Linked DNA regions of Tribolium castaneum. Each later gene encodes a partner of the first gene's protein in a complex. Links are inferred from orthologs where the notes say so. Each region holds a gene or a part of one and is shown on either strand. Other genes may lie near its edges. The genes, in order: Vps39 and vacuolar protein sorting-associated protein 41 homolog.

The links.
Region 2: Vps39 (region 1) and vacuolar protein sorting-associated protein 41 homolog share a complex: the UniProt entries of both Homo sapiens proteins name them as parts of the homotypic fusion and vacuole protein sorting (HOPS) complex. The link is inferred for Tribolium castaneum from reciprocal best matches to the Homo sapiens genes VPS39 and VPS41.

What each region holds. Positions count from the first base shown.
Region 1 is NC_087402.1:12,351,615-12,355,443, forward strand, and holds part of Vps39 (vam6/Vps39-like protein), read right to left. Parts: intron 2,762-3,829; coding exon 2,333-2,761; intron 2,283-2,332; coding exon 1,983-2,282; intron 1-1,982. UniProt on the Homo sapiens protein: Regulator of TGF-beta/activin signaling, inhibiting SMAD3- and activating SMAD2-dependent transcription.
Region 2 is NC_087401.1:16,023,944-16,027,772, forward strand, and holds part of vacuolar protein sorting-associated protein 41 homolog, read left to right. Parts: intron 1-2,504; coding exon 2,505-2,677; 3' UTR 2,678-2,684; intron 2,685-2,685; exon of another isoform or gene 2,686-2,700; coding exon of another isoform or gene 2,701-2,931; intron 2,932-2,982; coding exon of another isoform or gene 2,983-3,255; intron 3,256-3,312; coding exon of another isoform or gene 3,313-3,553; intron 3,554-3,829. Other genes in the region: ciliogenesis-associated TTC17-interacting protein, read right to left, coding at 2,701-2,931, 2,983-3,255, 3,313-3,553. UniProt on the Homo sapiens protein: Plays a role in vesicle-mediated protein trafficking to lysosomal compartments including the endocytic membrane transport and autophagic pathways. Acts as a component of the HOPS endosomal tethering complex.

The DNA.
Region 1 (3,829 bases):
CTGGTTTACAATACATATATTTTCTTTGAGAGTTTCAACACGTTTTTTAAACGACAAAAATAAGCAAAAAGACGACATCTGAGTAACAATTTTGTTTTAGTTTAAGGCTTAGGAATGTTTTTAGGCTAAATCCCATCGAAAACTCATTACACGCCTATTAACTATGTTTTTCGAAAAATTGTATCACAAATTTTTAAGCAAGTTTTTAAGTCAAACTTTATTTTTCGAGATTTAAAAATTACTAAATTAAATTGAAAAAATGGATTATAGCCCAGTCAAATTAGACAAATCGGTGGAAAAAATTCCTAGAGAGTTGTTTTAAAAGCTTCCTTTACACTTGTGTAGACATATATCAAAAGTCCCCGAAGTTGCGGGGCGAGCTCGAGGAGAGGAAGGGGGTTAAAGCAGTCTTTTTTGGTTTTTTGCTTTTATATCGGAAACTGTTACTCCTATCAATTTTTCTCTTAGCGAAATTAAAGCCAACAAAATTTCCTACAAAATGGTTATATGCATTTTTCTTATAGGACTAACCATAAGCGAGATATTAGTTTGAAAATAATTAAGAATTTAAAAAAAATGTGCTGTAAAAGAAAATGTCTTTCGATTTAAAAAACTGACAATAAACTGAATATATTGGGTCCAACACTTCATTAGAGGAGAAAGGAGGAGATATAGGGGTCACAGAAGTCCTTAGAATCGTCTTTAAATGCTGCATTTTCGTCTTCCCCTCATACATTGAAAACTGAATTACAGTCTTGTTCAGTAAAATATTAATAAATAGATGATTTAATATAGATGTTTTAAATAAATCTTATAATAAATTGTATGCATTGAATCCAACAGTTCATTCTATCATATCTTCTGGGTCATCTTCAGATGCTGAATTGTGGTCTTCAACTGGAAAGCCCGAGGGAAGAAACTATTTTTTTCCTTTATTTCCCACTCTTAGCTTAGGTGGAAAACGCTTTATACACTATTTCCATATAAATACTATGATATACTAATGTTTAGTTATACAGTGTCATGTAGACATTAAACTTCAAAAGCTAGTAACTTACGGTTAGTCCTACAATAATGAGGCTAAGACCATTTTTTAGGAAATTTTATCAACTTTAATTTTGGTAAGAAGATAAAAATTTATAGGGGTGACCGTTTCCGAGATATAAGCAAAAAAACAAAAAAAGACAGCTTTAGCTCCCTCCCTCTCCTCGAGCTTGCCCCCCACCTTTGGAACTTTTGATATATGTCTAACAACATGTAAAGGAAACTTTTAAAAAAAATTCCAACTCTCTAGGAATTTTAAATTAGTTTTAAAATTTGTTAGCTCAAAATTAACCACAAAATCATTAAGTTGATTAAAAATTACATTGTTTTTACACATTTTTTTATGCCTTTCGATGCATGATAATTGGTTATTTATTTTTAAACGAAATTAAATACGGTGTGATAAATTAAAACTAAAAAGACGTCGATCCGATTTTTACTATTTTCAATTATTTTCAGAAATTTACATTATACAGGTGATTTTTAAAAAACGGCAGATGCTGTAGAATTTTCATTTATGATCCGATTTCAAAAATAAAAAAACTATTAAATAGCTTCTTATGTAATATAAAATGATGCCTCTAAAATTTTTCAAAATATCAGAGTATTTGGGGTTACATTCACCTTTTTTTAATTTTGACCCACATTTTTCTTTTCATAATTTGGAAGATATTATTTTTTTGGTACAAACATGTGTACTACGTTCAGCTTTTACTAAAAATTGTTTTTTAAAAAAATGTAGGACGTTGAAAAAAATTATAAAAGTTAATACAATCTAATGGCATGGTGCCAATAAAAAATATTTACGTTAAAAATAATTATGTTACAACAAATATGTGGGAAATGTTTTTGAAAAAATATTAACTTTAATGTTTTTTTCTTTCAAATTTTTGAAGATATTTTTTTCTTGCACGTTTCAATTACAAAAAACAACTTACCTGTGTTTCAGATTGAAGCCGATGTCTCATCTCAGTTAAATAATCAATAAGTGCCAACAATCCCGTTTCTAATTCTTTTTCAGTCAAATCTTTTGGTGGTTCAGGATAATCTGTTGAAACGGTTTGTTGTGGAAGTAAATCAGGGAACAGTCGAATAACATCATATGGATCAGTTTCAAGTTTCAAAAACTCCTTCATACTTTCACGAAATTGCTTATTCACAAATAAATCATAAGCCAACAAAGTCTGAATCTGATGAATTTTCTCTTTTTTGTCTTCTTCATTCTCATTTGAAATTTCCTGTATTATTGTTTTTTTAATTTTTTAGTCAACTTAATTATTTCACTTACCGTCAATTTCAAAGCCAACTGGAATTGCTTTGATTCCAACAAAACTTTTCTCTGTTTTGCGACATCTACAGCTCGAATACACCAAACTTGACTGACAGAAGCCGCATAGAGTAGACCTTGTTGACAGGTGATAATAAATCTGACCTTGGAAAGGTCTTGTAAGGTTTGAACCAAACCGCATGGTTCCAAAGTTTGAACTTCAATACATTCGGAGAGAACGCCAAGGGCAAAAGGTTCATCCCATGCCAAGGTCAGTGGAACATCTGACCATCGCAAGGCCTTGGTTTTTTCCGTCTGACCTTTGGTATTTACGAGAACAGTTTGCGATTCGCGACACAATGCAAAAGTTTTTTCGGAGGCCTTGACAATACAAGGCTCACTAGATCGGCTACTGCTAGTCGGGAAAAGGTCAGTTTGTTGGCCATCCAACTAAAATTATTTACATTTTGTATAATTTATTTGTTTATTACCGCTTTGTATGTATCTTTGCAGCAATTAGTTGTCTAGATATACAGCGTGCTTAAAAACTGCTGCACCAACTCAATGGTGTGTGGTAGAGAACTGGTTACATATAAAGATAAAAATAGTAAAAAAATTATTTGTATTAAAGTTATTGATAAATAACAGATTTTAGATGATAAGTGGTAACGAATTTGAGCAACAATAAAAATAAATTATTTTTGAAACGGTTTCCTAGGAAATAATTCCCAGAGTTGACACATCTACACTGTGATTTTTTGGATGAATTTAAATTTTTTTAAATTCAAAAAACTGCTAAAATCTGATAGTAAATTTAAAAATAATTATTCATCGTTTTGTTACGGAACGATTACCTGGTGTATGAAACATAAAAACATAAAAAAATAATGAAAAAGTTAACACAATAAGTTTGTAGCTCCAGATTTTTTAAAATATGACTTTAGGAATTTTTTCAACATTTTTCCCGTAATCTGCACTTGCTTCTTAATAACGTACCACTGAGTTGGTGCGCCAGTTTTTGAGCATTCTGTATTCTAAACTTTGTTCTATTTTTTTCTAAAATTTTATAAAATCAGCAAAAAAACAGAAAATTATTGCATTATTTTCGGCCTTTTTCGATTGTTTTAGTACATATTTTTAATCTAAAAAGTGATTTTTCTGATAATAATAGAACGAAAGAGATGTTACTTTAGCTTTTTTCGCTCGTTCCGAACCATTAGATATTATCTATTTCGCAAAATGTTTAGAAAACAAGATAATGTTCAAATAAGTCGAAAACTGCCTTATTTTTAGATTTTTCGAGTGTCTTACTAGTTCGTTTTGTTAAAATACAAAATTTTAGAATATTTAAGAAATTCTTAAGCTAAAAACTGTTTTAAATTTCGCTGAAACAGACTGAAAAAAACAACCAAGTTAGAACAATATTGATGTTTCTTTACTTAATTTAGCTCGATTTAGTTCATTTTTAAACTAGAGATTTTGGAAGATTCTATGTGGAGATAGTAAATACATTCAATT
Region 2 (3,829 bases), on another chromosome or scaffold:
AAGGTACATTTTTGGTTATTTTTGACCAAATTTGGTGATTTTTTCGTTCTAGTTTAACAAAAACATGCAAAAAATACTTAATTTTTGGCTTTAAAACTTGCTAAAACACCCAGAACTTGCAAAAATAATGACATTTTTGCCCCAATTTTCCGATTTATTTGCTTACTTTGTAAGAAATTTTGCGAAAAATGGACTTTCTACGAATCAAATATTGAAATTTATAGTTATTTTCGACCATATTTGTGGATTTTTTGTTCTAGTTTAACAAAAACATGTAAAAAACTTAATTTTTTTGGCTTAAAAACGTGCTAAAATATTCAAAAATTGCAAAAATAATATAATTTTTGTCAAATTTTTTGATTTATTGGCTTATATTTTAAGAAATTATAGCCAAATGGTGGATTTTCCGCGAAACAAACGCTCGGAAAATTAAATTTTTTGTAATTTTGGTCTAAAATTATGTTTAAATACTCAGAACTTTCAAAAATAACGTCATTTTTGACCAAATTTTGTGAATTATTGGGTTATTTTGTGAGAAATTTTACGAAATGATTGAGTTTTTGCTGAACAAAAGATTGGAAAAGGTACATTTTTGGTTATTTTTGACCAAATTTGGTGATTTTTTCGTTCTAGTTTAACAAAAACATGCAAAAAATACTTAATTTTTGGCTTTAAAACTTGCTAAAACACCCAGAACTTGCAAAAATAATGACATTTTTGCCCCAATTTTCCGATTTATTTGCTTACTTTGTAAGAAATTTTGCAAAAAATGGACTTTCTACGAATCAAATATTGAAATTTATAGTTATTTTCGACCAAATTTGTGGATTTTTTGTTCTAGTTTAACAAAAACATGTAAAAAACTTAATTTTTTTGGCTTAAAAACGTGCTTAAATATTCAAAAATTGCAAAAATAATATAATTTTTGTCAAATTTTTTGATTTATTGGCTTATATTTTAAGAAATTATAGCCAAATAGTGGATTTTCCGCGAAACAAACGCTCGGAAAATTTAATTTTTTGTAATTTTGGTCTAAAATTATGTTTAAATACTCAGAACTTTAAAAAATAACGTCATTTTTGACCTAATTTTCTGAATTATTGGGTTATTTTGTGAGAAATTTTACGAAATGATTGAGTTTTTGCTGAACAAAAGATTGGAAAAGGTACATTTTTGGTTATTTTTGACCAAATTTGGTGATTTTTTCGTTCTAGTTTAACAAAAACATGCAAAAAATACTTAATTTTTGGCTTTAAAACTTGCTAAAACACCCAGAACTTGCAAAAATAATGACATTTTTGCCCCAATTTTCCGATTTATTTGCTTACTTTGTAAGAAATTTTGCGAAAAATGGACTTTCTACGAATCAAATATTGAAATTTATAGTTATTTTCGACCATATTTGTGGATTTTTTGTTCTAGTTTAACAAAAACATGTAAAAAACTTAATTTTTTTGGCTTAAAAACGTGCTAAAATATTCAAAAATTGCAAAAATAATATAATTTTTGTCAAATTTTTTGATTTATTGGCTTATATTTTAAGAAATTATAGCCAAATGGTGGATTTTCCGCGAAACAAACGCTCGGAAAATTAAATTTTTTGTAATTTTGGTCTAAAATTATGTTTAAATACTCAGAACTTTCAAAAATAACGTCATTTTTGACCAAATTTTGTGAATTATTGGGTTATTTTGTGAGAAATTTTACGAAATGATTGAGTTTTTGCTGAACAAAAGATTGGAAAAGGTACATTTTTGGTTATTTTTGACCAAATTTGGTGATTTTTTCGTTCTAGTTTAACAAAAACATGCAAAAAATACTTAATTTTTGGCTTTAAAACTTGCTAAAACACCCAGAACTTGCAAAAATAATGACATTTTTGCCCCAATTTTCCGATTTATTTGCTTACTTTGTAAGAAATTTTGCAAAAAATGGACTTTCTACGAATCAAATATTGAAATTTATAGTTATTTTCGACCAAATTTGTGGATTTTTTGTTCTAGTTTAACAAAAACATGTAAAAAACTTAATTTTTTTGGCTTAAAAACGTGCTTAAATATTCAAAAATTGCAAAAATAATATAATTTTTGTCAAATTTTTTGATTTATTGGCTTATATTTTAAGAAATTATAGCCAAATAGTGGATTTTCCGCGAAACAAACGCTCGGAAAATTTAATTTTTTGTAATTTTGGTCTAAAATTATGTTTAAATACTCAGAACTTTCAAAAATAACGTCATTTTTGACCTAATTTTGTGAATTATTGGCTTACATTTTAAAAAATTTTGCAAAATAATTGAATTTCTTTCCACCACACGCTTGAAAAAGGTGTTTTTTAATTAATTTTATGATTCAGAAAATAAATTCTTTCGTTCTTCATGGAAAAAAATGTGGTTAAAAGCTTTAAAAGGGGAAAAATTAAAAAAAAATCCTCTAGATTTGGCGATTTTTCCTTTATTTTTACGGAAATTTCGCCAACAATTGCCTTTAAAAACATCTTTCAAGGTATTGGCGTGTCGGAAGAACTAATGTGTGGCGCTTGTCACCACATGGTGCTCGAAAAGGACCCATCCAGGTGTACCAACATAACAGTTTTCAATTGCAAGCACGCCTTCCACGAACAATGCCTCCCTGAAAACACCACTCGATGCGGCATCTGCTATCCATCCGATAAATAAAACAACGGTAAGCCAACAAATAACTAAATATATTTCCAAAAATCGTAATCTTCATCATCGTCCACATTGAACGGTCCTTCGAAATATTCACTCTGTGGCAAAAGGGCCGGCGTAAAAGCCAGGAAATACTTGGCTGTGAATTGGAAAACGTCCTCTGGTTTTAATTGGAGGATTGTTTGGACGTAATCTGAGATCATTTCACGCACTTCTGGCTGGTCGTCTAAATAATTAGCGATTTGTTTTTTACTCATCATCTGAAACATTTTTGTGTTTGTGTCTTTTTTTTTCACCCTAACTTTACTTACTTTCGCGTCCAAATAAAGTGAAAGTAACTGGATATCATCCTGTAGCGGTTTTTTCTCCAAAGGTATCTTGTTAAAGGCGCTAAGATCCGTCAGAGGATTCAACTGAAGGATATAATTGCAAAAATACCACTCTTGTTTGAGTATTTTCCCAGTTAAAGTCATTAAAGTGATGCTTTTGTGTTTAATGCCACATTCTTCAATTATCGTGCGATAAATTTTGCACACGTCCACTTTTTTGTTGTTGATCATGCCACTAGATGGACCTTTACATTCCTGGATTTTTTTCACTTATTAATTATTATCGTATTTTTTTTGCAAAGTGTTACGTACGTAAATATTACGGCATAAATTACCATTGATGTACAAGGTCGAGACTTCGAAAAAACCGACAAATTTTGTTAGGGCCAAATAGCGCATCAAGACAAAATTTGCGCCTTCGCAAATTAAATTGTGCGCTTTGTGTGGACTGTAGAATATGTCTTTTCGTTTGTCGTGACGTAAGTAATAGAAATTTTCTTGCGAGCTGACGTATAAAGCTTGTTGGTCGAGTCCGTCGTCCATTTGGACGTACCTGAAAAATTATGTTCAGTTTTTGTTACTTGACTGTGTTATTTGAGTGCTTTTAGCGGTTTTCAGGACCGGTTTTAGTGAATTTTGGCGAAAAAAAAAAACAAAAATAACACAAATTTTGTGAAATAATTTTTTTTGAAAAAGTGAGATGATATAACGTTGTTTTTTGACCTAAAAGTTTGTGTTTTCTAGCCCGAAAAGACTAAGTTTTTAACATTCAAAATGTGCTTAAACTAAAAATGTATGCAAGTTTTTATTTAAGTGTTTTTTTCATGTT